Oryzias latipes: one gene and its partners. Each later gene encodes a partner of the first gene's protein in a complex. Links are inferred from orthologs where the notes say so. Each region holds a gene or a part of one and is shown in the gene's direction. Other genes may lie near its edges. The genes, in order: probable global transcription activator SNF2L2, smarcc1, smarcd1, SWI/SNF-related matrix-associated actin-dependent regulator of chromatin subfamily D member 2, smarcd3, dpf1 and phf10.

Region 1 (3,598 bases):
GCCGTGCCAGACGCTCAAATCTGCAGGACCCATGAAGGAGGAACACGGGCTCCTAATGTATGTTATAAAGTCTGCCACGGTACAGGCTACTGATCTGGAAAAAAAACTCTTCATGTTGAGCAATACTCCAATGTTCTTCAGTAAATGTTTGACAAAGCATCAGAAATGTTCCAGAAGGGTTTGGATGAGGAAGGATCGGTGACGGACATCCTTCACCCGCGGGGCTGGAGGTGGTTCTCAGAATTCTGCGGATTCGTGGCTGTCTCTGGTCCCTGACCCCCACCAATATGGGGGGAGTACTGGCTCCACAAACGGTTATTTGTTCTGAATGTGTTGTTAGGCTGAGACTGTCCGCCTGCTGTTGAAGAACCATCAGTTTAGTTCAAACAATAGTTTTTCCCAAATCAGTCAAGTCGTTTAGAGTTTTGTGAAATGACGCCTCTGTTACTCAAAGTCATGCGTGAGTTTTTTTTCCAACACGTCACATTCCAGATGTGTAAAAGTGTAAAGCTGTAAAACCTGCTAAAAATGTCCAGATGTTGCAGCTGACAATCCCACCGTGTTTGGCTGACTCTGTCTGAGTGATTTATGTCTAGTTTGATTTTCAAATCACAGCCTGAAGAAGGTTTACTGATCGTGTCAAACGTTTGGGTCTAAATGAATGAATGATTTTAGCATAATTTACCCAAAATGTTTGTGTTTTGATCCACAATCAAAGAAAAGGGATTTCATCTTCCACAAATGTCTATAAAGGAAACATTTTTCCGGAAGAGCTTTGATCTTCTAACTCAACGTTCCCTATATGGCTACCAAGTCTTTAATATTGTATAATAACTGGGAATGTTTTCCTTTCCAGCCCATGGAGGCCATGACTGACAAGTCAATGACAGAAGCCATGCATTTTGGGCACATGAAGGGTGTGGGGATGAGATCGCTCCACAGCGGGATGGGTCCTCCTCAGAGCCCCATGGACCAGCACAGCCAAGGTAACGGGTCTGAACCGGACGCACCATGAGTCCCATCCATCCACCATGCTCCAACGTGTCACCATTCTCTTCAAGGTTACATGTCTCCACATCCTTCCCCCATGGGAGTCCACGAGCACGCCTCCAGCCCCATGCCAGGAGGTGGAGGTGGAGGTGGACCCACGCCGCCGCACATCCCTCCCTCCCAGTCAGGTCCCATGATGCCCATGGAAGGAGGCATGGCCGGCATGGGCCAGCAGGGCCGCGGACCCTCTGCCTTCAGCCCGGTCCAGCTGCAGCAGCTCAGAGCTCAGATTCTGGCCTACAAGATTCTGGCCCGCGGACAGCCGCTGCCCGAAAACCTCCAGCTGGCCGTTCAAGGCAAAAGGAGCCTACCCACAATGCAACAGCAGCCACCGCAGCAGCCACCGCAGCAGCAGCAGCAGCAGGCGTCGAGTGTGAGCCCCTACAGACCTTCAGGTGAGGATGAGGAAACAAAGGTCAAACAAAAACAATGTAAAGACACCATCGTTAAAAAACAGGCATAAAAAGGAAAACTTACCAAGAAAAAGCCTGAACTGAAAGAGGGAACATACAGTGGAGGTATGGGGGGGCGGGGCTGTGGAACACCTTGTAGGTAAAAAGCAGGACGTTTCCCACCTCCATGAGCACAGTTCTGGGGTTTACAGCTGTAGAGAAGGTGTGGAGGGACTCCTGTGGAACGATCCCGGAGCGCTGGCAGGTCCTCCTGGTGACGAGGTGGAAATCCCACGGAGCTAAAACTGGAGCTCAAAACCTTTTACTGTGATTTGGTTTGTCCAGGTTTAAAAAAGTTCAAACGTTAAAGATGTCATCATGAAGAGCAGCAGCAGAATCTGAAGGAAAAAACCATCATTTATGGCAGGAGTTCTGTTCTAAACCCGCAAAAGATTTGAGGCAGTAAAACGTCTCACAACAGACGTTCTACACTTTTCCCAGACAGACACCAACATTTTCACACTTTTGTTTTAAAACTTTTATAGAAAAATACGTCCAGGATAATAGAATGAAAGCAAAGCTCTGATCCCAGTCAAAGATTTATGTTTGGTAAACTGAACATATTTCACGGCGCAGAGAAGCTTGATTGACAGCCCAGAACGCAGTGCGCTGTTAAAAACACAACAACAAAAACAGAATTGCTCTGAAAAAAGCAGAGAAACGGCAAAAAGTGAACCACAATATCACGAGGGAACTCTGTAATGTTTGCAGTCATCTTTTGGGTTTTACATCCAAACTAATGTGACGGGGATAAAAAGTCTGCACATTCATAATTCTGATTATCAGTTTATTATTTATAGGATCCCCGTTAGCTGTGCTGAGGAGGCAGCTGCTCTTCCTCATAAAAATCCCCAATGCTATTTAATGTGAATCCCAAAAATACACGATGTAAACACGTAAAATTCACATTTTAAATATCATAAATAGAGTTCCTGGACCCTGAACCGTTGTGCTTTAAATCAGTCACACCATCAAAATCTGGATCTGAAAATATGCGGCTCCAAAATGTGACCTCAGTATTTTCATGGAAAAACCAAACTCATCCAACATCTGCTTCTTCCAAAGGGATGCCAATGGCGCAGATGGGCGGCCCCCAGGCCAGCCCCTGCCCGGCGCCTGCCATGCAGGGAGCCAATCAGAGTGCAGCCAAGCCGTGGAGTGATGGTGAGTCTGCTTCCTGCCGGCCTCGGGTCTTAGCGGTGAAACATCTTCTGGCTAAGCAGGCTCAGAAAAGTTGAAGGTCTTTGTTTGACAGGTGGAGAAAATCAGGCCCACGTGCAGAAACACCTCACCCCCGTCTCCAGCGGGCGTCCCTCTCCCGCGCCGCCGCAGACCTCCGCTGTGCCTCCGGGGCCGGCACTGAGCGGCTCGGCAGCTGGACTCCCACCGGGCCAGCAGGTGTCTCCCATGCTGCAGATGCAGCAGAAGCAGAACCGCATCACTCCCATACAGAAGCCCCAGGGCTTGGACCCGATGGGGATCCTGCAGGAGAGGGAGTTCAGGTATGGATGCGCTCGCACACCTCCATGATGCTTCCTCAGTGTTTACAGTGGAGGTTGGTGACCATTTCCTCCAGGAACTCATTAAGTGTCATGCAAAGTGCATTCATGTCAAACGTTCTCAGTTTTCTGAGGTTGGGAGCGTTACTATGGAGGCTGTTTGATCCGTTTTCTCATTAAAGACGTGTGACGCGTGAGGCGCTTTATGTTGTTCATCAGACTCAAAGCTTTAGCTTCTTTTTCATGTCATAGTCACCATTTCAGCATTTCAGACTGGCTTTACTGTTTGACTTATTGTGTTTTAGTATCATTAGGGTTATTTTACCACATCTGTCTTTATACTGTTCTTCAGGCTGCAGGCTCGCATCGCCCACCGAATCCAGGAGCTGGAGAGTCTACCGGGGTCTCTGCCTCCTGACCTGAGGACCAAAGCCACTGTGGAGCTCAAAGCGCTCCGTCTGCTCAACTTTCAGCGGCAGGTACGGCAAATATGTACCAAATATTTGCTATGGATGTTAACGTAAAGCAGAATGTCAAATCATCAGAAGCCGGCTGACGCTGAAACAGTGAAACTATCAAACAGGCTGACGCTGAAAC
Region 2 (3,598 bases), on another chromosome or scaffold:
ACTCTTCATTTATATACCATAATTTCCGGATTATAAACTGCTACTTTTGTAACACACTTTTAACCCTGCGGCTTATTCAATGATGCAGCTAATTTGTGCACTTTTTTCTAACGCCCGCTAGGGGCGCTCAAGCAGAAAAGGTAAGCGTGAGACGGGGGGATGCAAGATTAATGTAAATTCCCGCTTTGAGAATGAATAACACAAACAGATACTCACGGGGAATTCAAGAAGAACAGCAGTTGGATCTAGCTGTCAGTCATCTGAACTGTCACTCACATAACTGACTGCAATGGAAAGCTATCCAGAAACCATGCACCTTTTGACTCTGAAAAGTCTCAGGAGGAGTATATGGGCGAAGCTGAATGCATACTCTCATTTCCAGCATCAAGCAGATTTATTTAGACACACCCACAAGCAGCCAAACAGCATGAATGTCACTTCTGCTCTTTGACCCCTCAGTCACAGTGCAACAAAAAGAAACACCAATGCTCAGCCCTATTTTGGCCGCATCCCATAATCCCTTGCTGCTATTAGACCCAACAAGCACGTGACCGTCACTACAATATGACGCAGCTTTCAAGTTAAAAGCAATCGTTAAAGCAGTGTGAAAAAATCCACCATCACCAATGGGTTTAGAAAAGCCGGTCTGCTGCGTGACGGAAAGGACAGCGCAAGCTCAGGAGTGAATTTGCCTCAGGATAAGAGTGACACTGACAGCGACAACGAAGGAGACACTGAGAGAAGAATATCGAAGAATATCTGTGGCTATTCCAATCCAACACTGAGGAGGAAGACTGCCATGGTTTCAGTGCACAGGACAAAGATGAAGAAAGCTCTCAATGACTTTTACGTTCATGTTTTTTAAACCAGCCCTGTTACTACCATATTGCTGCTGTTCCGAAAGAAAAGCTTAGGTATACCATTAAAACTTTGAAAACTCTTTCTGTGTACCGTCTTTCTTTGTAAATATATCATGTGTTGAACCTTTCCTGCGATTACTTTTTTTTCTTTCTTTCTTCTCCGCCAAAGGTTGTTCACTTCCCCGTTAGGACCCTCAGAGCCTCCAGAGTGGGTTAATAAAGAATCATTCATCTTCTTCTGGGGGAAACCTTCATTTATCACCCCCAACACACTTGCTCTCACTCGGTGCATGCGCGCTCTCTCTTCCTTCCGCTGCACGCACTCCCTCCTCCTTCTCACACACGTGTGCGCGGTTTCAGCACATTCACATCCTCAATCTACAACACAGAGTGGTGACCCGGGGGTTAGCTCGCCTTCAGCCTCTTAGACTCATGGGAAGTGGGGAATCGTGGGTGGAAAGTTCCTCAACCATGACTGAGGGGGCTGTGAACAGAAGTGAGATCCATGCTGTTTGGCTGTTAGTGAGTGTGTTCAAATAAATCGGCTACAATGCCGGAAAGGACAATATGAAATCTGCGTTTGCAGCTCCCTTTCTGACACTGTACGACACGTGCAGAACAAAGACTACAACATGTTTATACGGGCGCATGCGCCTGATATACAGGTGCGGCTTGTGTGTGTGTGTGTATAAAACAGCTAACTGTTTGAAAATGTAAAGGGTGCAGCTTGTAATCTGGTCCGCTCTATCGCCCGGAATTTATGTTACATGTCTATTCTCATGTTTGCCTGAGAGAAGTGTCTAAAATGTATTGGGGAGTTTTACAGCCTGAAAACTAGAATCCTACTTGGTGGATTTCACCAGTTGCAGGTTATTAATGGAACGTATCCCCGGCCATAAATGAGGGACCACTGTACCTGGAAAGATCGTGTGTTGTTGCAGTGTGACATGTTGACTGTTGTTGTGATTCACTGCTCCTTCTTTGCAGTTGGAGCTTCAGCGGCAGCAGCTCCTCACAGAGCGACAGGCGTTCCACATGGAGCAGCTCAAGTACGCAGAGATGAAGGCACGCCAGCAGATGGAGCAGCAAGCTGCCGCTGCAGCCGCCGCCGCTGCTCAGGCCCAAGGGCAGGGACAACCCCCCGGTCCCGGACATCACCACGGGCCCCAGGGTCCTGGACCCCATTCTGGACCCCCTCCACCAGGCATGCACCCTGGAGGGCCTCCACCCCACCACGGAGCGCCTCCACCTCACCACGGAGCACCTCCACCCCATCTTGGAGGTCCTCCTGCTGCTGCAGCAATGCACCCTGGTTACCCGCCCATGGCTCACCACCCCATGGCCCCCCACCACCCTGGACCGACGGGTAAAGACAATGGTTTTCGGAAGAATCATCGAATTTCATTTTAGCTTTCTTCTTGTTCATAATGTGGCATTCCAATAAAGTGGCCTCGTCTTTTCCTCATTGTAGGACCGATGGGACCAGGTCAGCCAATGCCTGGGCGTATGATGTCCGGGCCACCGTCTGCCGGACCCCCTCCTGGGGGAATGCCTCCCATGATGCCTCCCCGTCACCCGGGAGCTCCCAACGGCATGTGTGAGTACCAAAGTCTTCTTCTATGTTTACATTGTTTTTCTAATTTCAAAAGGTATCGCCTTTTTTTTTCAGACTATTAGGTAAACATAGTTTTCTTTGTTTTTGGTGACAAACTCATCTGAACCTCTTTCCTGAGGGGAGGTGTCTTTAAAGCAAAAACCACAAAGCAAACCTGTTCAGGGAATTCACATCCGTCTGACTCGAAGCAGACAGCTGGTATTTACTCCAAATGTCAGCTAAACGCTGTTGTTTATTATTTTTGCACCAATGTGGTCAAACTTTTCATGTAGCAGGAAGTCGTGTTTCTGACAGCTGGGGTGCTGGTTTGGCTCCAGCTTTCATTCCAGAAATGTCTTAACTGATTCAGAAAAAAATGCCATCAACACATCATCCAGTGCTCCCAGTTATGATCAAGTTTGTTTACGTCAGGCTAGCTGACTGAGGTTAACCCAGGCGTGGGCAAACTGTGGCCCGCCCAGCTGAAATAAATTATACAGTTTATTAATGCCAATGTTTTATTTTCTGGTATCCCTATAGATGGTACACTACAAATAAATTGACCTTTGTTTTAGGTGCAGAAAGTTATTCTGCATTCATGTCGTGGTGGAAGATTTGGGGTTTTTGTTTTGTTCGTGTGTCATTTTTGTAATTCCAGTGGATTCCGATCAGAGAAAAGCAGATTTGTGCTGGAATGCTACACTTCGTATTGGTTAACATTTACGTCTACCAAGTATAAAGTTTACATTGATAGTGTCGACACTTCACTGCTGTACAATGTTGAGTTTTGGCTCAAAGCTTCAGCTTCAGAATCTTTTGGAATTACGTCAACTGTATAGAGTTACGGTAAATCAGAGAACAGCAACACTGTAGGTCAAGCTCTGGTGTTGAAGGTTACCTGAACTATTCCCTTGGATATAGGCATTGGCTAATGAATAAAAATGATTCTTTTAAGCGTTAAACGCTGGAGATGTCGCCAGCGTCACCTAAATAAACACACGCTCTTTAAACTGTAACTTCTTTGTAACCCTAACCGCATCTCTTCAACCATTTTAACGGATTCTGGTACGAAGAAAAGCAAATTTGCAAATTGGCTTCGCCAAGTCATGCCTGGCGTGGCATTTTATTTGATCACAGGTTAAGC
Region 3 (4,200 bases), on another chromosome or scaffold:
AAAAATGCACATCGTTTTTTGTGTTGTCCTTACACAAGGTTGTTTGATGTCATTTTTCTTTCTGCAGTACAAAAGAAGTAAAGACCCATGAAATTAGGTTTACTCTGATTCTCGTATATACTAGCAGAAAACAGAAAGCCCAAACAAACAGGCATCACAAAATACCAGGTGTTGTGTTGTTGAAAAGAAAATATTTTCTACTCCAGATATTGTGTTTATCTCAACATAGTCAAGTTCTGGACTTGTAGAGACAAAAAGTGTCACATGTTACTTAGCAAAATGATGGAAAGAAACAATCCTGTAGCTGAAAACGTCATCATCAAGATTTCTATTTTATAAAACCTTCTAAAAACATTCAGAAATAACCTGCAAATATGTACACAAATAGAAGTTAGTTAAAAACATACATGATTGTTTTTTTAAAGGATATGATACAAAAATATGAATAGTTACATTAATAAAAATCAAATGATTTTCTCATTTGCAAAACAGTCATATATTATGAAAAATGAAAAATATCAGCAATCCACTGTTGAACCAATTGATTTTGTACTGTAGCCTAAATTAAAATGAAAACTTTTATTTTTAAATGTGTTCTTTAAAAGTTAATAATGTTTTGGGGCATTTTGTTTTGCTCTAAGTTTTATTTTGTTCGATAAGAGAAAATTGAAAAACAATGTATTCTGTTTTGATAAATGAAAGACATATAGAAGGCAATAGAACAGATTAGTGAATTCACATGAAAAGAAAGAAGACAATTTAATAGCGTCCTAAATTACTCCAATATGGTTGGCCTACCCGTTGACTTTATTCTTGTGCATATAATCATGTAAATTGAATGCTGGTTGTTAGGACTTGTCAGGACTGTATTACTCCAGCTAATTAAAATGTTCTTTCTTTTTTTATTTTAATTGTTTTATTTTCTACAGACCAGACAGATTTTTTCGTGTTTTTAATATATATTTTAAACTATATATGAATAATATTAATACATATACATGTATATATTGATATATATTAATACATATTTTAAACTACATGAACTATACTTTTATAGTTTTTCTTGTAGTTTTCATGAGTAGCTGCCCAGCCTGTTTGTTGTTTTTTGCTCTTGTATTTAAAAAAAATAGCACGAAAAACAAAACAAAAAAACTTCACGAAAAATACTAAAATATTATAAAGGAACATACTAAATGTTTTTTTTAAGAAATAGCCTATATTACGCCTTCATACCCCACAATTATCCTTTGTCTCTTAATGTGGGCAATCGTGCAGTGTCAAAAGAGAACAGTAGAGGGCGCTATCGCAAAGTGAACGCCTCAGTTGCTCTCGCGTTAGTTCCTTTGCTCCACCGGAGGCGACATCTAGTGAGGAGATGGCGTCCAGAGGGGGGTTTCAGTCTGCACCGACTGGTGGTGGTGGAGCTGTTGGACCTGGACAACCTGTACCCGGTGCTGGACCAGGCATGGGACCCGGGACTCCCACTGGAAGAATGGGTCCATCTTCGGCTGGTCAGAACCACATGTACCGATCTCCAATGCCTGGGCCTGGGTACCCGGTGAGTTATCACTCCATCTTTGCGTCAATGCTAGCCGGTCCGCTAGTAGAACAAAGCCACTCATCGCTGCTTTGTCGCCAATGGCTAACATTAACCCCCGTCCCCCTACAGGCCCAGTTCAATAGAACTTAAGAAACCCATTAAAAGTAATCGACTTTTAATAAATATTTTTTTCGAGCGCTCTGGCGGACTTTTATGAGTTTATCATGTTTGAATTTGCTAAACCTCCCGCTCGCTAACAGAAGGTTAGCTTACATGAAACTGTGCTACCTCGCCTGCTAACGCTAACTAGTAACTAGTTACTGTGTTACGCTCGTCGTAGTTCTCTAGTTACTGATTGTGTGGAGTTAACTGGCATATACAGATTGATTAAATCTATCAACTTTTATGAATACGTCTCGTTTTGACGGGATCCATTGATTTCCTCTGGGAAATCTGAAAGTAAAAAGTCCGCCTCTCAGGAACCGTACTCTGCGAAAACATCTGGCTGCTACCGTCATGTGAGTCTAAATTCAAATTTGCTGAAAGGTAATTTCCGAAAACCCGCTTGTATTTGTCGCGTCTCTCTTTGCTGACGTTTAAAAATTGGCATTTGATTTGACTTCTACTTAACGGAACCATTGAGTTTTTGGTCAGGTTTTAGGTGTAACTCCGCCGTCGAGAACTTCTACTTGTTAATAATACAACGCTTGGTAATGTTTTGCTATTAAAGTACACGCAACATAGTTTACTCATACATTGCAGTTGTTAAACTTAAAAAGGGGGGGGGGGGGGGGGCATGGTAAACTTAAAAGTCCACCCACCTACCTACCAACCTGAATTAATTTTTTTAAAATAAAGACATGCACCCAATTTTGAGAGGAGTCTTCATACTTTTAACCAATTACAAATGAGGTAAACTCAGAATTTACTTGAGGGCATGATAAATATTTTTAGAAATTGAAGATCTTAACCTTGAAAAACTTCAAAAAATGTTTTATTTTTATAAACTAGCAGGGAATGGAGAAGTATCTTATTTATAAATCTATCAAGATCGTTTGATTCTTAATTGATGGAAAGGTGGGTGGTGATGTCATTGTCTGTATAAGAGAACTGGACTGAGCGAGTCTGACGTCACCCGTAGAAAGAAAAAAAAAACGCCTTACTTTCAGCTCCAGCAAAATGAATCCATCAGTCGCTGTTAGATCTGCAGTACACTCATCCCCATGTTGGAGCCAGACCACCTAAGTAAACGGTGATGAGCCTGCGTCTGTAGGAGTCGACGCTTCTATGGCAACTCCTGTCGCCAATCAGGATTAAGCTTTTATCTTAGTCCACATCTCTGCCACTGAAAGCAGGCTCAGGAGAGTCTGTCAATTAAACATTTCAATCATTAGAGGCGGGGTTTACACACGTTCGAGCAGGTACTTCCTATTTGACATCCGGGGTGGGGGTGGGGGGTCACTTAGTCCAGTTCTATTAGGCGGGGATGTTTTGGTGGAAACAAATTGTGGAACTTGAGGGGAAAGTAACATGGCAGTGAAAAATGATGAGGGAAGTGAGCTGTTAGTGGCGGGCTAACATAAATTAAAATGGAACGTGGAAGTACAGCTAGCTAGTTTGGTGATTCAAATTTTAGTGTGGAGTAGTGTACGCAGCAACCTTTGTCACCGTTTTCAAGAAGTTTAACATTAATGCTAAAGATGTTTGTTGTGTTGAAACAGACTAAGAGAAAGAGTTTACATTTCTGCAGTTCTTTTAGGGTTTTAAAAGTGTCCTAGATGTTCAGACTTCATATTTACAATACCTAGACCAAATCCAAGTTCTTCCCCCACTTCTACTTCTCCCTACACCTACAGTTAGCCCTCCAAATGGAGTGTCATATAAAAATAGTCATTTAGACGTCACTCTGACTCGATGAGGTCATCAATCGTCGTCGGTCAGCCACGTTAGCGGGTGGCGATCAGAAGTAAATAACGTGGGTTTTAGAACATTAAAAAGCCATGCTAAAACAAAAAGTATTTACTTACATTTACGTGTAAACTTCTGTGCTTCAAGGCACACCCACTTGCAGAGATACGTTTCTCTTTTGCGGCACAGAACATGCGGAACACCTTTGCGTTGGAGGGCTCCGTATCCCTCCGCGCAGTGAAGGTTTTCCATTCCAAAAACTAACACCCCTACCCCCAAATGCCCCTACAATTGGAGGGAAAGAGAGAAGCTGGAGGGGTAGGGGAAGAATTTGGATTGAACCCTAGTGGGTTTATGTTGAAGTCTGTTTATCTAAAAGACTTTCGATGAAAAAATGTTTTTCACTAAGGCAGTGATTTGGCTACAGTTGTTTATTTTTGTGATTTAAAGACCAATCCCACTAAAGGATACTGTTGACTGTTCCATCTAGGCCTTCACGATAAATGGCAAATTTCTCGTTATCGCGATATCAAGCTGTGCAATCCGCATATAGCAAAAGACAGCGAAAATCGCAATAAATTGTTACTTTAAATGTGCTAAAACAATCTTATGACAGCTTGTAATTATTTAGCAAATCAAATAAATCTATTTATGGATGAAGCCTTTTTGTTAGAAGCTCGCCTCCCATGAAGACTAGTTTCATGTGGAAAATAATTTTAGTTATGTTGACTCTTATTTAAATTAAACCACAG
Region 4 (4,095 bases), on another chromosome or scaffold:
ACTTCCTCGCTCTGGTGACATCACTGCGACTTGGCCTTCAGCGTTTTTGAACGCTGGACAGGATTCTCAAACCCATGAATTCCAATTATTGTAAAATCATTTATTTGCAAAAAATCCTAAATATAGAATCACTTTATGAATAAGATCTGGTAGGAAAGTGTTATGCTTTTCTATTGCTTTGTCTGTTTTGTATGGGGTGTTCAAGGGCAGCTGTTTATGAGTGGGTGGACTGAAAGACCTTTTTATTTTTTGTTTCATGCTACTGAAAAGTTTCATTAATTGACCCTCCCGAAGAACCAGCTGCCTTTTGTTCACAAAAGACAGTAATCTCTGCATACAGATACAAATAAACCTCAAATTTTCATATTAAATAAAATGCTGAAAAAGAAATCTTGTAAAATTCTACAAAAACATGTTTCCATAAGATGTTGCAAAAAAAACTTTGCAGAAAAAACTGTCATCTTAAATCCCTGAGGGCATTTAAGTTTTTTTATTTATTTAATTTTTTTGGTAAATGTATTTAATTATTTTCCAAGGACAAACTGATATTATACAGGGCTGATGTCAATTGTAAAAAAATATAAATAAAATACAGACTACAGTATTAAATTTCTAGTTTAATATGCCATACATATGAAAAAAAGTTATTTAGCTGGGGTCAGTATTGCTGACTTGCCCTAAGAAATGTGTTTAACACTCTCATTTAAAGAAATTCCAAATCCCTATACTAAAATTTAAAAATAATAATTTTATGCCATTGTAAAGGGGAAGAAAGCAATTCTGGCGAGAACTTTCATAAACCTTAGAGAAGACAAGTCCAAAGAGCAAGATGATTGGCCATGTTTTTTCTGAGTCGTATTCTCTTAATATCCTGTAGAGGGTGCTGTTGTGCGTACTTAAGGAAATTTGTTTTCATTCATCTCATAATATAATATAAATATAAATCCTGATTTATTTTGCCTTAGATGTATTTAAAAACTATTTAAAGTATTATTTTTGTTTAAACATGACAAATTATATGTAAATTATTACTTGAGATATGGTTTATTTGTCAGTCCGTGATATCTTTCCATCACTTTTGTTTTGTTTGCAGCTTCTTTTATGAGCATGTACTTTATAAGAATGTAATAAAAAATAAAACTTTCGATAAAAAGTTCATGAGAAAAAAAAACGAGGATACCGTGTGTAAGAGTTTGACTTTCAGATTTCAGACGGCAGTGAAGGCACCACTTAGTATTGCATGTAGGAGTGTACGACAGGACAAATTCGCGTTTTTTTTTTAATTTATTTTTATATTTAAGCGTTTAAAAGACACCGAGTTTTTTGCTAAATCGGGCGTTATTATTGTCTTAAGTGAGCCTCCCCGTTAAAATGCGGAGGGACAGTTAGTTGGACATGTTAAGGAACGCAGGCAGGGGCGGGGGTGACGAAGAACAGTCGCCGCTCCGTCCGTGTTGAGAAAACCAGCAGTTAGAGCCCGGAACTCGAGCTGTTAAAAGCCGAGCTAATGTTAGCTAGCTTTTTGTTGACAGCGTGCTTCCTGTCAGTGTAGCTAGACTTCTACCGACGCGGCGACGGTTATTTCCAACTCATTTATTTATTTATTTCTGGATTTTCAAGTGACACTCGCTTCCCTCGCTTATTATTGGGCCGTAAATCGTCGGGAGTTTTTCGCGGCACTTTCAACCACTTGTAGCTCCGGATGATGGCATCGAAAGGGGGGTTCACGGGTCCTCCGATGAATCCGAACTTGAACCCCATGAATGTCGGACACCCCACGGGGATGAGAATGCCCGGAATGCTGCAGCCCCCAACGGGTTATCCCCGAAGTATTCCCCAGTTTGCCCAGGTTTGTTTTTATGATTGCCTTCTTCTTTTTTCCCCTCCAACTATTTCTATTACAATACAAGAAAAAGCGGCCAATTCTTGTCAAAATGTCATGGTATGGAACTACTTCCGCCATTGAAAACGGTTATAAAAAATTCCCGTCATCAGTCAAATGGGTTTAACGTGTCATTGTGGCACCAGAGAACATTAATTGGGGGTAGAGGTTTTAAATATTCTGGCCTTTGTGAATAAATGTACTCTGTTGAAGTGTGAACGGGGTCACGTGGGTGCCCTTGGCCTCCTGTCAGTTAGAGAAAACAAAAGGAAGTTTATCATCACCACCATCTATCCAAAGACCACTTATACCATCCCTGTTCCAGCACCATCTGGGCTTCATTTGGACCCGATTGTATCCTACAAATTAGAACCATCAAAGTTCTGATGTATGTTTTTCTGTGAACGGTTCATAAAATGTCAAACTTACTCACTGTCCAGTCTTCAAAGCACATTTTCTTTTCATATAGGAAATAAGATTGTTTGACAGTAAAAGAACTTTGAATAAATATATTAAAGTCCCACTCGATCCTCGTTGGATCTGCTTTAAAAACCTTCCCAGTGGAGTTTTGATTATGATTATCCCAGTTTTTAGGAAATAGTTTCTGCACAGCAGCAGTGGTTCATTAGACACGTGTGTCCGAGTTGTGGGCGGAACAGTTGAGAGAGTGTAAACACCTGGATGATGGGAAATTGTGGCAGGCTTACTCCACTGGCAACAGCTCCGCCCACCAACAGTTCCTTACAACCCCAACATAATATTTTCGGTGTAACAAAATGGCGAGCAACGTCGGGGCCATCCAGACGTACAGATTTGAGCCAAATGCCTGATTCACAATGATTTGAATAAAGGAAACACTCAAAAACACCATTTTAAGCTTCATTTAATTCATGTATGTCCTCCAAGAACATGTTAAAAACATCAAACAAACATGATTTTCATTGGAATGGGTCTTCAAAGTCAAAATTGAGTTCTCAAGGACATTTGGCAATCACATACAAACTGATTATTTTCTTCCATAAAATAAGCCAACAAATTGTAAATAAAGTGGGGCAAAGCTGAAGATGCTCCATCTTCTGTATGAATTTAGTGGTAGGATTTGAAGCAGATGTTTCCTTTTGTGTCTCACATCCTTGTGTTGGAATCTTGGCCCGTTTCTCACTGCAGCTTTGCTTCAGCTTTTAAGAAATGTTACAGCTCTTGTTTCCTTGGAGTGTTTCATTTGGGTTGAGGTCCAGACTTTTGCCAGGCCGTGTCGCAACCTTAACCGTTTCCCTGTGGTGTGACCTGAAGTCAGCTCAGCTTTGGCTCGCCGACTCACGCTCTCGTGTGCTCTTGGTGTACTCTGATTACAAATGAGTTCATGGCCATCTCAATATCTGCAAGGTCTGCAGAAGCCGTGACTAAAAAACAAAGCAGAATCGAAAGGCCCTCATTGCTGTGCTTAATAGAGCGCAGGAAATGCATCTTTTTATTTGTTTAAACAAAATTCTATGAAGGTTCAATTGTAAAAGTATTTATCTTTACTCGTAAAGTTAAATTGTAGTTCAGATTGACATATTTAAAAAAGTTTGTTCCAATTATTGATGAAAACTCTTAGTTAGTAAACTATAATTATTGTGTTTTTAGTTATAAAAGTTAATAAGCCATAATTAGTCCAGTCTATTTTTATCCAACTAACATCAAACCATACAGTTAATTTTAAGAAAAGAGCCCCAATCTTCTCTTTTTATGTTTATTTTGAAGCTATTTAGGTGGGAAACAAAAATGTAAAAAAGTGTAAATGATTGCTTTAATTGTAATAAATTATCGATAAGAAAGATTTAGACATATTCAAAGTAACTTTTCTTTTGTTTAACAATGTTAAAATCCAAATCAGCTCTGAGTTAGACTGAAGGTTTGTGTTTCTACCAGAAATGGACAGAATGGATCAAACTCAATAGAGATCAGCCTCACGTGGGTCAAACGACACGACACGCCAACTGCTTTTCCCTTTTGTTCATCAAACTGTTCTTCTTTCATCCAGCGCCCTGGAATCCCACCCAGCAGGATGGGGGGTCCTATGGGGGTAATGGGGAGTCAGATGCCCGGTCCCTCTTACGGTGGGGGTAACCTTCCCATGCGGCCAGGCATGGACGCGTCAAGAAAGCGTTTTCTCCACCACCAGCAGCAGCAGCAAGAGGCGCTCGGAAGCCTCAGACGAGGGTAAACGC
Region 5 (4,087 bases), on another chromosome or scaffold:
TTAAAGAGTATAGATTTTTCTCTTAAAATCTTAAATTTTCCCCCAAAAATGGAATTTTAAAACATTTCTGTACTTGATGGATGATTATTATATTTTAAGTTTAATTTTAGAGCTTAAACACGCCCCCTGAGGTAGTTTGCGCCCCCTCGTGTTCAATAGTGGAACTACTGGTCCCTCTAGCCCCTCCTGTCTGTTTCTCTCAGGGATATATATTACCATTTGGTGAGACTGATTTGCCTCGGTGAGGTAGATGGTGGGGGTTTAGCAGGGGGTACTTCTTGCACGGGTGTCTTTGTTACCAACAGTGTCGCTGGAGAGGCAGCAGACGGACACTTTCTGCAGATCTGCACGAAAAAGCTTTGACCTTGCAGAAAATAAAGACGAGCGTTTGTGGGTCAGTTTAACTGATGTAGGAAATGCAAATGTAATTTGTTTATGGCAAATATAATACAACATCAGATCATTTTTTTTCAATTGAATGAAACACATAAAATTGTACACCGAGGGAACGGAAAAGGACTTTGCAGTCAAGGTTGGGGCTCGGCTGCAGTTTACTCATCTTACCAGCAGGGGTCGCCAGCAGGCAAATAAAAAAAACCGTCAGTGGAGTAAATAATTCATTTTAGAGCTGAAGTTTATCCTGAACTTTCTAGTAAATGCCTTTAAAATAAAATGTTTTTACAAACTGACACAAAAAAAAACACTTTTAGAAATTAATATAATGATTAATAATCGTTTTGTCCACTCAAAGACACTTCAACCCCTTTGCCATTCAGATAACCTCATGAATATTTTACTGCTCCGGTCTGACGGCGGGGGTCTGGTGGTGGTGGTGGTGGTGGGGGGTCCTGCTGCTTCAGATGGGGGGGGGGGTTGAACGTCCCTGCAGTCACCTTGCTGTTGGTTGGCCTGACTGTGGCCCCTGGCCTGACAAGTGGGTGAAAGGTAAAGGCCGATGAAACGCGAGGAGGAAGTGATGGAGGAGCAAACCGGAAGTGGAGGTGCTGTGGACAGGAAGCCCTCACGTTCATCCTCCGAGTGCGGCGCCTTTTATTTCATTTCATTTTTTTGAGAATGAGCTCGTGTGTTGGTGGCCGGGTGGTGAGCTGCAGAGCGGGAACCGGCCCTCCCCAGCTCCCGCTCCACGGCACGCGGCGCTGCATACCCTTATCCACCAATGGAATGCAACAGCTGTGTGGGGGTGCGGCCGCGTGGGCTGGCTGAAACCCCCCTGCCAGACCCCCCCCCTCCGTCCCTCCCTCCACACACCCCACCTCCGAGCTGGCGAGCGACGTGCCGGGGCTCCTGAAAGGCGGCTCGGCTCGGAAGGGGGGGAGGCAGATCCACTCCGCGTTCCGGGAGAGGGAGGGAGGGAGGAGAGAAGGAGTCGGGGACAGGCAGTGCTGAAAAGGAGAGCACAAAGAGAAGGAAAGTGGAGCAGGGGAGGGGAACCGGAGGCTGGCTGAAGGGAGAGACAAAAGAAGGAGAGGGGGAGACGCAGCGGGGTGAGCGGAGGGGACCGAGGAGCAAATGGCTACGGAGGAGACGGCGGGGGGAGCCAGGAAAGCCACCAAGAGCAAACTGTTTGAGTTCCTGGTCCATGGGGTGGTGAGTGGCGCTGTCCGTCATTCCTGCGAGGCGAGCGGGGCTCCGGCATGTGTGAGAGCGCGCGCGAGGGTGCGTGCACGCGGCGGTCTGCGCGCGGGATCGCTGGGTAGAGTGAAGGTTATTTCCAGCTCCCCGGACCTCCGCCTGGCAGGAGGAGGTGGTCTGAGAAGTGGAGCAGCATGGATGGATGGATGGATGAGCTGCAAAAAGGCATCAGCTTTTGGCTAACGGGGCTGAGGGAGGGAGGGAGGGAGGGGGGGTCAGAACGGGGAGGGGGGGGGGGGTCTGCTTCCAGCTGCCGGTTGGTGGTGGATGAATTTGAACCTGTAAGGTCACGAGACGACCGGATGTAGTATTGTAGACGGAGCCACTCCTGGAAATCATGCAGAACAATCGGCTCATTCATGTGAAGACTGCAGGCGATGTCAAGCGTCGCTCCCGGTTCACCGTTTCCAGGGCCGCGCGCGCACATGGACCGGTTTGTTTTGGTTCGGAGCTGCAGGGTGTGTGTGCGCGTGCGTCTGTGTGAATGATCCACGTTTTTCCACGCAGAGCCTCACATCCACACCACGTTCTGGATTTGATTGATGATTTCAAGCAATCACACCTAGAATCTTAAGCATGAAGACATCCAGCTTAGTATGTCCGATGATAATAAATCAAGAATTGATTTGGGAAATAAAAACTCACAGTTGACATGCAGTAAGAAAATCCTGCTTAACAAGAAACTATTTTGAAATTTTGTTTGAAATAAATGTGAAAAATCTTCGTTAGAGAAGAAATTAGAAGTAAAAAACCTTAATTAAAATATTTTTTTTTAGCAAACAATAGAATTTGTTTAAAAAAATTCCCATCACTATTTGAAAAATTGCCCTCTGATTTTGCTTTGGTTTACTCTTTTCAAATAAGTTTGTGGCTTGAAACTGTGTCAAGGTGAAATCCTCAAAGGTTTTAGCCATTTTTCTACCATTAATATTTATCCCTGCAGAACACAAGAACAATTTTTCTTCTGGGCTGTTACAGTTGTGTGTGTTTTTGTTTTGTTAGTTCATTTTGATCTTCGGCAATTAAATACATCCACAAAAATAGAAGACAAGAAAATACAAATAATTTAATAAAATAAATGAGCTGTGACCAAATTTGACCCCATGGATTCTCCAAGGTTCTTTTAGAAACAACACATTTAGAAACTAGACAATAAATTGACTTTTTTTAGCAGCTAAAAGACAAAAACTCTTTGATTTCACTTATTTGTAAGTTGATAACTCACAATAACAATCTGATATTATTATTACTTATATATATATATTATATTAAGATAATCTTTGTTTATATTGATCGACATTAATCAGTTCTTCTAAACCTATCGTCAAAGCGTTCTTTCTTATAATTATGATTATCAAATCAAAAACGCTTTTTAGCGCTGTCTTTTGTTTACTAGGACATAGTTTCTGCAGGTTTGTGGATGATTACCCATCATCCATCTGTTTACCTGCTGGCTTACAGCTAAAAGACAGATGTAGTCGTCTACAAGTGGATGCATCTAGCTTGTAGCCCACCAAATACAAGCTTCTTCCACAGCATTTTTTCATCTGCTCCTGATTCACAATAATGTGGCTACAGAAATACTCAGAAATGCAGTTTTAAGTTGAATTTATCAGAAAAATCCCACAGGAACATGTTAAAAACACCATTTTCATGGGAGCAGGTCTTTAATTGCAGCACTTTGTCTTTTTAAAGTGTATTTTTCTTTTTTTGTCACTCTTTTCTGAAGATCACGTTTGAAGAGAAAAGGTTTTTTGGTTTTGTTTGGAGAAAATATGAAATTTAATGGTGGAAGAATGGAAAAAAACAATACAAATGATAATAATCTTATCTAATAATAGTAGAACTTTAGTTTTTGTTTTTTTTTCTGCATCAAAAATTCCCATCACTTTAGAATAAAAAAATTAAAAAAAACTCCCAAGTTTTTCTTTGTGCTTTTTGGAAATGGGAAATGCCCCCCTGCCCCCCAAGGAGCTCCTACCTCCCCACTGAAGGAGTTTTGGAGAACTTTCATGACGACGCTCCTCTCCAAGACCCGGCCGCCTGGTCTAAAAGCGTGGGCGCTGCGACGCCGGCGTGGAGGATTTGGATTGAGGCATTGTGCCTCTGACAGGAGCGGTCACGACGCGGGTTCGAGACCCTCTCTGGGGGAACAATGGAGCAGGTGATGGATGAGCCGGACCAGCGTCTCCTCTCAACAGACCAATTAACCTTGATGAGACTCTGGCTGCTCCAAGCCAAATATTTCCCTCTGCTTATTTTCACTCGTGCCGTCCTCCCCCCCGTCTCCCCCCCCCCCCCCCCCCCCCCCCCAGAGCAGGAGATGGAAAAGTCTTGTTATAATAGTTGCGGCAGGTTTCTTGGTGTGCGTACAGCAGGACGGAGAAATATTTATACCATGGGGTATGGGGATGATGTGGGGCGGGTTGCGGCG
Region 6 (4,351 bases), on another chromosome or scaffold:
AGTTATCGCTATATAACTCATCGATGGCTGCAGCCACAAAACAACGTTATTGCGTCCCCTAGCGGTTCAGGCACCCGGCATGACTCACCGGGGATTTTCCTACTCGAAGCCCTGGACCTCCCCCACCCTCCAATGTCAACTGACAGCTTTCATTCGTCTACTTGTCCGGACTTCACTTGGATCAGCTTGAACACGTTTGTAACACACAGAGGCCTCTCTATAGGCGGGTTCTCCGTTAGCTTAGCGGCTAACTGTTGACGGCTAACTTTACCTGCAGGTTTTCCTGTTCGTCCACCAACAGGAAACTCCGCGCGCCGCCGGGACCCTCTTCCGGCTTCATGGAAACTCTCTCAATTTCCTTCATCAGGACCTCAGACATCGCTGCTCAGGTGTTTATGTCATAATCGGGACGCGGGAGAAGAAACGAAACTTCAACATGACTTGTAATCACAACAACAGAGCGTGCGTACGGAGGGCGGGGCGAAGGAGGACGTAAACTTCGACGTCACCCCCACATTCTGTGCGATAGAGTGCTTTAGCACCACCCTGTGGTCAAAGTGTAAAAGGCAGCTTTGCCATTCATGAAATCAGCGATCACGGCATGATTTCCTCACTCAAAAAAAAAAAAAAAAAAATCTGTGAATTATTTCATGTTTCCAATACGTTTATTTTTATAAAATAAAGTTTAATTTAGGACAGTATTGATGTATTTGTTATTGTCCTTCAAAACATTCCCTTTGTTTGAAAATCTTCCTCACAAATAACACAAAAACTGTCGCAGGGCGTTTGGTTTGAGCAGTGGGGCCTTTTCGAGCTGCTTGCTAATGTTCATTAAATATTTGTTAGCACAGATCTATAAATATCACATGTCACTGGATTCAGAGTGGTGGCTCCACTACTGTGGCTCCACTGCCAAACTGTAAAGACAAATCCAGGCCTCCTTGCTCCTACCCCTCGTCCTCCTGCCTCCCTCCGTCCATCCCTGCAGCAGACGACAGGAACAGCACGAATTGGAGGGGTTCCCACTTCTCAGGCGAGGAGGCAACGACAGACAAATGTCTGAAAGAATCAATTACATGCCCACTCTCAATCTATTAATGAATAATTAAAGGTGCTCGGAGCTTTGAGACACGGCTCTGTGCATCCAACCACATCTGAAAGTTATCATGCACACTTGTTTTATGATTTTCCAGTGTTTCAGGCTGTGATGTCTACCCCCTCCTGTGCACAAGGCAAAAAATGATCCAAATGCAGTTTTGTTTGAATCCTTTAAGACTATTTTTTGTTCGAGATTCCTGTGTGGGATCAGTAGTCCCGACCTCTGTCCTCACATGTGAGGCTGATCTCCATCCCGAAGCTCCACCAGGCTCAACTGGACTTTTTTTCTATACATTAGGACAGGGACGGCTCTGCTTACCTTTCAAGTACGAGGCGGGTCGCTGAACCACTGGAACCCCCTACCCCCGCCGGTATTTGTAGTCATCATCTGTTGTCCGTCCTCCGCGCCGCCGTGCGCCAAAACTACAGTTCCCACAAGCAGCCACGGTGCGCTCCCGCCTCCCATTGGCTGTGCGCTGAAGCCGCAGCCCCAGAGAATGAATGAAATTGAAATGCTACATTACATGTAGAAAACCACCGGCTCTGCGGTGTTGCATTCTATCACACTATATCAAAATGGCCACAGCGGTGCAGAACCCCCTCAAATCGTGAGTACCGTTCATTCTCCGCTCCTAACATCCGAGCATGCTGTCAGCGTCATCTCCTTATGTTCTAATTCTGATCCTGCTCCACCACACGCTTGATGTAAACGGCGGAGACCGAGATTATGATGCCAATGAAAAGTTAGCCTATTTTGCGGGATTTCGTGTCGGTGTCCTTTTTTTTGTCACTGAGTATGCGCTGCGGTTCCTCACATCCCGTACCCGAGCCAGCAGCAGCGCGCGCGCGTATGGAGGAATGCTGGGGGAGCTCTGGGTGACCCGGCATGTCCCTTGCCGGTGTATGAACCCAAAAGATCGGTCAGATCCAGGCTGGGGGCTGAGTCGAGCTAACATGGCCCTCCAGAACCTGTTAGCGCGCGTCTTTAGAGGCAGGACGGAGCTCGGAGCGGCTTTCCGGCTGCAGCCGAACTACTGGACCTGTGGGAGATGGAGAGGCGGAGGTAAATACACTGCGTCTCCCACGCTGACTCCATCTGAATGGGATGCCGGCGCTTTGTACCCTAGAGTGAGATGATTATCAGCCGGTGGCGTGTTTAAAGCGGCCCCTTCTCCCTAAAGTTTGTCCGTTAACGGTCCGTTTTGCACATGTTTTTATTCGGAAGGAGGGGGGGGGGGGGTGTCTTTTTCTGGAGGAATGCAGCGGCGCGCGCTGATGCTCCCGGCCAAAGACAGAGGTAGCCACCGCGCGGCTGTCAGCGGGTGCTGGCACTAATCTCCCCCGCATAACGCATAAAGGCGCAGGCACCAACCCGCCGGCACCACAGCGCTCCAACTGTAGCAGTTTGAAACAAAGAAAAGTCTGGAGACCTGCGCGCCTCGGCTGCTTCACCTGAGCGCACAGACCGCGCCGGGGCGCGCACACGCCGGCGACATTTCACGCAAACCCAGATCAACGAACAGTTTGGAGCGTGGACGGAACTGCCAATTAAGAAACTGCTCTGAATGGCTGTGATGGTATTTCACCATTTGTTGTTCAAATCATGAGTGAATCGTCAGGTGGGTCATTTCCATCCACACAGTCGCTGTTATTTGACTGTTAAATGTTTATTTTGAGGCGGGCAGGTGACGTTGGGATGGAGAATCTTCAGGATGTGGCTCTCCTCTGTTTTCTCTTCTCCACTTTCAACTCTTCCTCCATTGCATGCCCAAGCTAAGCAACCGTGTGGCCAGGTTGCGCCCAGAGACTTTCAGTGAAACCATGTCGGGATTCATTTGACTGATTTGCAAGGAGTCTGCAGCAGAACTGGGAGGCAACAGGAGAAAAATGAGAGGAAAAAAGTCAGAAGGCAGCTGGGCCAGAGGATAATGAACTACATCCTAGTGTTGAAAACACAGACTGTCCAAATGAGGGATGACAAAGTGTCTGTTTGGACCTTCAGTGCAGAACCCTTAAAAAGCTGAAAGTCTGCATCAGGTTTAGAGGTCTTTCCTCTAGATGACTTTATCATGGTCTGGTTGAAGCACCAAATGAGCTCTGATATACACTCTTGAAATTAGCATGTTTGCAAACAAACTTGTTATGGAGACTTGTAAATTAGAGCCCCCATTCTGTGAATCGAGCCAAAGAACCAAAGACTTGGTTCAAAGTCAGCCCTAACAGGGGGGGCTGGCTGCGTGCCGGAGGCAGAAACAAAGCCTGTTGTGTCCCAAAATGTCTTTAAAGCTAGCTGAGTCTCAGCAGTAAATTGCAATTAATTCCGTGTTTGTTAATTCCCATTGATGCCCAGGATCCAGCCAAGCTGTGCAGCCCGCTCATGCTCGGCTGGACGTGTGTGGACGTACAGTGGAGGGTTTCATGTGTGTGCAAAAGCATATCAGCAAACCAGCTTCATCCAGTCGGCCTCTCTCTGCTGGATTAGAGAATCATTTAATCTCTCTTACTCTCTATCCTTTTTTCCTGTGATTTCCTCTCTGTCCTCCCATCACCCCCTCTGCCCAGTCTTCCTCCTCGTCTCCCTCCTTCTTTGCCACTTTCTCAATCCATCACTTGTTTCAGTCCATCCCTTTGTTTAACCATTTCCTCTTTGCCTTGCTTTCCCTTCTCCTCTGCCCATTTTCCACAGGACTTCTGCATTTTGAATCAATGGCAGCACCGTGTTTTCAAATGCAGTGCGAGCAGCAGTGAGGGGAGCTTTCTTTGCATTTGATCACATTTCCCTTCAATATTTATATATAAATATTATATATAATATAGAATTTTAGGATTGCTCAAGAGGAATTTATTTTCAGTTAAATGCAAGCCACTGAAATGGATTTGTGGAGTTGCAAATACTTATTTAGCTTAAAAGACAATGTGAACCTCCCATACTTTTGAGCGTTTGTCCTGAAATGTCGGTGTTAAAAGTGGTGAATGTGTCCTTTGGAGTCACACAGGAGACTGTTTGAGTCAAAGCTGCAGTGGATGAGGCATCTCCTTCAGCAGAGAGCTGGTTAAAGGGGGAGATGCAGATCAGTGTGTGCTGTGGTGTTGGAGGCAGTTGTGGCAGGTCCTGTCTAATGATATTTCTGCCCTGCCTGACTGAGCCCAGCTAAATGAGTTCCATGTAATAACTGGCTCTGTGTGCAAACAGCCCCATGTGACGGCTGAAGCCCCGGCCGGGGCATCCATCTCTGCATCTCTGCCCTGTTTC
Region 7 (4,125 bases), on another chromosome or scaffold:
AGAACAAAATGTCACAAAAATATGTTAAAAACACACAAATAACGACTGTCTTTGAGTGGGACCTTAAAGATATTTAAATAAAAGAGTCGGGCAATTACTGTGTCATTATTATAAAGCTTTTTCTAGTGATTACAACTGAAGCAAACTTACATCTCTTTTCTATGAACTGGTGCAGAAGGCAGGATTTGCCTGTTCCAGCATTTCCAATCACTAGGAATTTAAACAGAAAGTCTGCAGAGGGAACACAGTAGTAACATAGATAAAGCAAACAGGGTTTGAATATGCTGCCTTGTTATTAATAAACTCAACTATTCTTAATTTTTTTTTGATACAGTTGTTGACATGTACACATCTGATGTCTACACTATACAAATCAAGACAAATGTGTCGTAAACAGATCGAACAAAGCCTTATATATATATATTTATTCTTTACTCCCACTAAGATAATTATCATGTTTAATGTTGGTTCAATTGATTGAACAGTTGTAGCATAGTGTAATTTGAGCAATGCCTCACAAAACACAGAGATATCCTATCATCACTTGCGTTTGCAAAAGAAAAGCGGGAGTCTCTTGCTTTGTGTCCTAGTGCTTATCCCGGGAACAATAGCATCTCCTATAGTCACAGCTTCTTGCATTATAAAGCTTTACTAATACACCTGTACCCGGAAGGCAGATTTATTAACGCTGACATTTGAGTTTAAAGGCCAAAACCTTCCTACTCCTCAGTGGCTCGGTTAGCCTGCCAGCTAGCTATTTGTTTACGAAGGGACCTCATCATCCCTTTCCTGCCATCTGTGTGTGAGATTCTAACGGGTATAAAGCAAGACAGCCTCCTTACCGTAAGACTCCGACATCCTCGGTGTGTCAGCTAAGCTGCAAGGCAGAGAAAGGCGAAACTGTTATTTGTTTAGCTTGCTAAGTGATGGAAATAGTCCTGTTGGTGATTTCCTTGGATTCTATGATTTCCTCCTCCAACTTCCTGTACGGTGTGTGTGGGTTTTTTTTCTTCAAAATAAAAGCATTCTGAAATGACACTTATGCCACATAGTCCTCAAACTACCGCGTGGGGGTGATGTTTGGATATGTTCTTATGGTTTCAATTAATGAAAAATAAATTCTCGCCGTTCTAAGTAAATTTTAAAAACAGCCCATTTCGCTGAGAGTTTTATCTATATGTAAATTAATTGGTTTGCATGTTGTGTACAAATTCTCTCTTTTTAACATATTTTTTGGAGGATCTAGGAGGTGGCGCTCTGAATTTACACAAACGTCAACCGAGTCCGTGGTTGTCCAAAGAAGAAGAAACGTAGTTTCCCCCGCTAATCATTAGCCTAGCTGTGGGCATTATTTATCTTAAAATGGCTACATTATTCCCTATTATTAGACCACCAAGTGATAGCAGTCCCGCTACTCCTGGGGCGCACTCCATGAAGGTGATTTTTTTCTACTTTGATAAATATCCATTAGCTGTTGTTTACGGGGAAACATGACGATGTTTTGCTAACAGATAGCTAGCTAGCCAACGGACGTTTCCATTCACTAGGACAACTGTCAGCCACTTTTAGCAAAATCATTTGTTTTCAAATGTGCTCAAATTACTTCCTCTTGAAGTAATTTGCTCCTATTATTCGTGTATTTCTCTATTAGTTTGCAACGTTGAAAAAATATATAAATAAAAAAAAACTAGATTGTGTAGCCATTTAAATATAAAGTGTTGCTAATTTTTTCCCTGTGTAATCCTAGTCAAACTAGTTTTGCACATGTTCCCATTTTCACAATAATACGGAGCCCCTAAAGGGCCATTGATGAAAAAAAAAAAAACTTGAGGAAATTTTTTTTTTTTGAAGTAAAAAAAAATTCTTTGAGCTAAAAATTTTTTTTTTGAAGTAAATAGGAAAAAAAACTAACTGGTGCGCACCAGTTAGTTTCAGGTGCGCACCAGTTAGTATCAGGTGCGCACCAGTTAGTTTCAGGTGCGCACCAGTTAGTATCAGAAGATATCAGATAGTTGACCTGCTTGCTCATTGTGCACCAAGTAGCTACAGTTGTCTTGAGAATGGCTAAAGTTGAGGATATGGACCTTATAAACTTTCTGAAAACACGAAATATTACTGACAATGTCATAATGTCACCTGAAACTAATTGGTGCGCAGCTGAAACTAACTGGTGGGCACCTGATACTAACTGGTGCGCACCTGAAACTAACTGGTGGGCACCTGATACTAACTGGTGCGCACCTGAAACTAACTGGTGCGCACCTGAAACTAACTGGTGCGCACCTGATACTAACTGGTGCGCACCTGATACTAACTGGTGCGCACCTGAAACTAACTGGTGCGCACCTGATACTAACTGGTGCGCACCTGATACTAACTGGTGCGCACCTGATACTAACTGGTGCGCACCTGATACTAACTGGTGCGCACCTGATACTAACTGGTGCGCACCTGATACTAACTGGTGCGCACCTGAAACTAACTGGTGCGCACCTGATACTAACTGGTGTGCACCTGAAACTAACTAACTGGTGCGCACCAGTTAGTTTCAGGTGGGCACCAGTTAGTTTTTTTTTTCCTATTTACTTCAAAAAAAATTTTTTTTACTCCAAAAGAATTTTTTTTACTCCAAGAGAATTTTTTTTTACTTCAAAAAAAAAATTTTTTCCTCCATTTTTTTTTTTTCATCAATGGCCCTTTAGGGGCTCCGTACAATAAGCTTTTCGATTCTATATATTTTGGTGTTCATCTGTTTGAAAAAAAATGTTGGTGAATCTTTTTTCCACTTCTGTAGGAAGATGTAATTGATGAGGTATCTAATGATGGGAGCCAGCCACCGAAAAGGAGGAGAATGGGTTCAGGGGACAGCTCTCGGAGCTGTGACACCTTCAGCCAAGAGCTTGGGTAGGCTACTTGTTTTTGCATTACAATTTGCCATTATTCTTAAGTAATTGCGTCAGATACCAACTTATAAATCTAATGTGTTGTTCCTGCCCCCACCTCCTCATCTAGGGTGACTTATTTCCCAGCAGAAAACCTAATAGAGTATAAATGGCCTCCTGATGATACAGGAGAATATTACATGCTGCAAGAACAAATCAGCGAGTATTTGGGTGTCACGTCATTCAAACGCAAATATCCTGGTAAGAATTGAACAATAATTCACAAAATGATCAGGAAAGGAAATGTTTAAGTGCGGTTGATTTAGCAACTGCCCAAATTATGTTTTGACCAGGGAATTTTTTTTAACATTCTTGTGCAGATATGGAGAGGAGAGACCTGTCTCACAAAGAAAAGCTCTACCTACGTGAGCAAAATGTTATCACTGAGACGCAGTGCACCCTGGGTACGAGCCAACCCTAAAACTCTTTGTTAATGCACAGACTTCATACATTTATTTATATTTCTTACATAATGTAGTGCTGTTGTATTTATATGCAGGATTGACAGCTTTGCGGAGCGATGAAGTGATCGACTTGATGATAAAGGAGTATCCAACCAAACACTCTGAGTACTCTGTGATATTGCAGGAAAAGGAGCGTCAGAGAATAGCTAAGGAGTACTCTGTAAGAACACCAGACTAGAACAACCTTTAGTTTTTATTAGAAATTGTCGAAACGCACGAACAAATAGTTGTACTCTCTTGTGCTTTTGCAGCAAATGCAGCAGCAGAACCCTCAGAAAGTGGAGGCAAGCAAGGTTCCTGAGTACATAAAGAAAGCTGCAAAAAAAGCTGCTGAGTTTAACAGCATCTTCAACAGGGAGCGAATGGAAGAGAGGAGAGCTTACTTTGACCTCCAGACTCACGTAAGTCTAATGGCAGATGGTTTAATAAATCTGCATCAGTGCAACGTTGGTTGAGCTTTTGACTGATGCAACTCCTTTTTGTCCTCTGCTTTTTGTCTCAGGTTATTCAGGTGCCCCAGGGAAGGTTCAAAGTTCTTGCTCCAGAACTAACCAGAACAGGACCCTACCCTGTTGCTCTTATCCCAGGTCAATTCCAAGATTACTATAAAAGGTACGTTCCATAACTGTTAGCTCTTCGTAAGTGACAGTAGTCTCTCAGTTAACGGTAAATAGATTTTAGATACACGATTGTGTTGTTTGTGCCAGGTACTCACCCAA

Evidence for each region.
Region 2: probable global transcription activator SNF2L2 (region 1) and smarcc1 share a complex: the UniProt entries of both Homo sapiens proteins name them as parts of the BAF complex. The link is inferred for Oryzias latipes from reciprocal best matches to the Homo sapiens genes SMARCA2 and SMARCC1.
Region 3: probable global transcription activator SNF2L2 (region 1) and smarcd1 share a complex: the UniProt entries of both Homo sapiens proteins name them as parts of the BAF complex. The link is inferred for Oryzias latipes from reciprocal best matches to the Homo sapiens genes SMARCA2 and SMARCD1.
Region 4: probable global transcription activator SNF2L2 (region 1) and SWI/SNF-related matrix-associated actin-dependent regulator of chromatin subfamily D member 2 share a complex: the UniProt entries of both Homo sapiens proteins name them as parts of the BAF complex. The link is inferred for Oryzias latipes from reciprocal best matches to the Homo sapiens genes SMARCA2 and SMARCD2.
Region 5: probable global transcription activator SNF2L2 (region 1) and smarcd3 share a complex: the UniProt entries of both Homo sapiens proteins name them as parts of the BAF complex. The link is inferred for Oryzias latipes from reciprocal best matches to the Homo sapiens genes SMARCA2 and SMARCD3.
Region 6: probable global transcription activator SNF2L2 (region 1) and dpf1 share a complex: the UniProt entries of both Homo sapiens proteins name them as parts of the neuron-specific chromatin remodeling complex. The link is inferred for Oryzias latipes from reciprocal best matches to the Homo sapiens genes SMARCA2 and DPF1.
Region 7: probable global transcription activator SNF2L2 (region 1) and phf10 share a complex: the UniProt entries of both Homo sapiens proteins name them as parts of the neural progenitors-specific chromatin remodeling complex. The link is inferred for Oryzias latipes from reciprocal best matches to the Homo sapiens genes SMARCA2 and PHF10.

Annotation. Positions count from the first base shown.
Region 1 is NC_019867.2:1,061,506-1,065,103, reverse strand, and holds part of probable global transcription activator SNF2L2, read left to right. Parts: intron 1-856; coding exon 857-986; intron 987-1,061; coding exon 1,062-1,445; intron 1,446-2,567; coding exon 2,568-2,666; intron 2,667-2,757; coding exon 2,758-3,004; intron 3,005-3,353; coding exon 3,354-3,480; intron 3,481-3,598. UniProt on the Homo sapiens protein: ATPase involved in transcriptional activation and repression of select genes by chromatin remodeling (alteration of DNA-nucleosome topology).
Region 2 is NC_019874.2:27,730,731-27,734,328, reverse strand, and holds part of smarcc1 (SWI/SNF complex subunit SMARCC1), read left to right. Parts: intron 1-1,847; coding exon 1,848-2,226; intron 2,227-2,331; coding exon 2,332-2,457; intron 2,458-3,598. UniProt on the Homo sapiens protein: Involved in transcriptional activation and repression of select genes by chromatin remodeling (alteration of DNA-nucleosome topology).
Region 3 is NC_019863.2:13,904,051-13,908,250, reverse strand, and holds the start of smarcd1 (SWI/SNF-related matrix-associated actin-dependent regulator of chromatin subfamily D member 1), read left to right. Parts: upstream 1-1,339; 5' UTR 1,340-1,375; coding exon 1,376-1,558; intron 1,559-4,200. UniProt on the Homo sapiens protein: Involved in transcriptional activation and repression of select genes by chromatin remodeling (alteration of DNA-nucleosome topology).
Region 4 is NC_019877.2:6,918,522-6,922,616, reverse strand, and holds the start of SWI/SNF-related matrix-associated actin-dependent regulator of chromatin subfamily D member 2, read left to right. Parts: upstream 1-1,235; 5' UTR 1,236-1,702; coding exon 1,703-1,849; intron 1,850-3,908; coding exon 3,909-4,087; intron 4,088-4,095. UniProt on the Homo sapiens protein: Involved in transcriptional activation and repression of select genes by chromatin remodeling (alteration of DNA-nucleosome topology).
Region 5 is NC_019878.2:21,156,894-21,160,980, forward strand, and holds the start of smarcd3 (SWI/SNF-related matrix-associated actin-dependent regulator of chromatin subfamily D member 3), read left to right. Parts: upstream 1-1,247; 5' UTR 1,248-1,530; coding exon 1,531-1,608; intron 1,609-4,087. UniProt on the Homo sapiens protein: Involved in transcriptional activation and repression of select genes by chromatin remodeling (alteration of DNA-nucleosome topology).
Region 6 is NC_019871.2:18,133,558-18,137,908, forward strand, and holds the start of dpf1 (zinc finger protein neuro-d4), read left to right. Parts: upstream 1-1,492; 5' UTR 1,493-1,599; coding exon 1,600-1,706; intron 1,707-4,351. UniProt on the Homo sapiens protein: May have an important role in developing neurons by participating in regulation of cell survival, possibly as a neurospecific transcription factor. Belongs to the neuron-specific chromatin remodeling complex (nBAF complex).
Region 7 is NC_019861.2:24,495,894-24,500,018, reverse strand, and holds the start of phf10 (PHD finger protein 10), read left to right. Parts: upstream 1-1,267; 5' UTR 1,268-1,362; coding exon 1,363-1,437; intron 1,438-2,794; coding exon 2,795-2,904; intron 2,905-3,012; coding exon 3,013-3,143; intron 3,144-3,262; coding exon 3,263-3,346; intron 3,347-3,441; coding exon 3,442-3,566; intron 3,567-3,657; coding exon 3,658-3,807; intron 3,808-3,908; coding exon 3,909-4,018; intron 4,019-4,113; coding exon 4,114-4,125. Other genes in the region: rab4a (ras-related protein Rab-4A), read right to left, coding at 151-231, 843-858. UniProt on the Homo sapiens protein: Involved in transcription activity regulation by chromatin remodeling. Belongs to the neural progenitors-specific chromatin remodeling complex (npBAF complex) and is required for the proliferation of neural progenitors.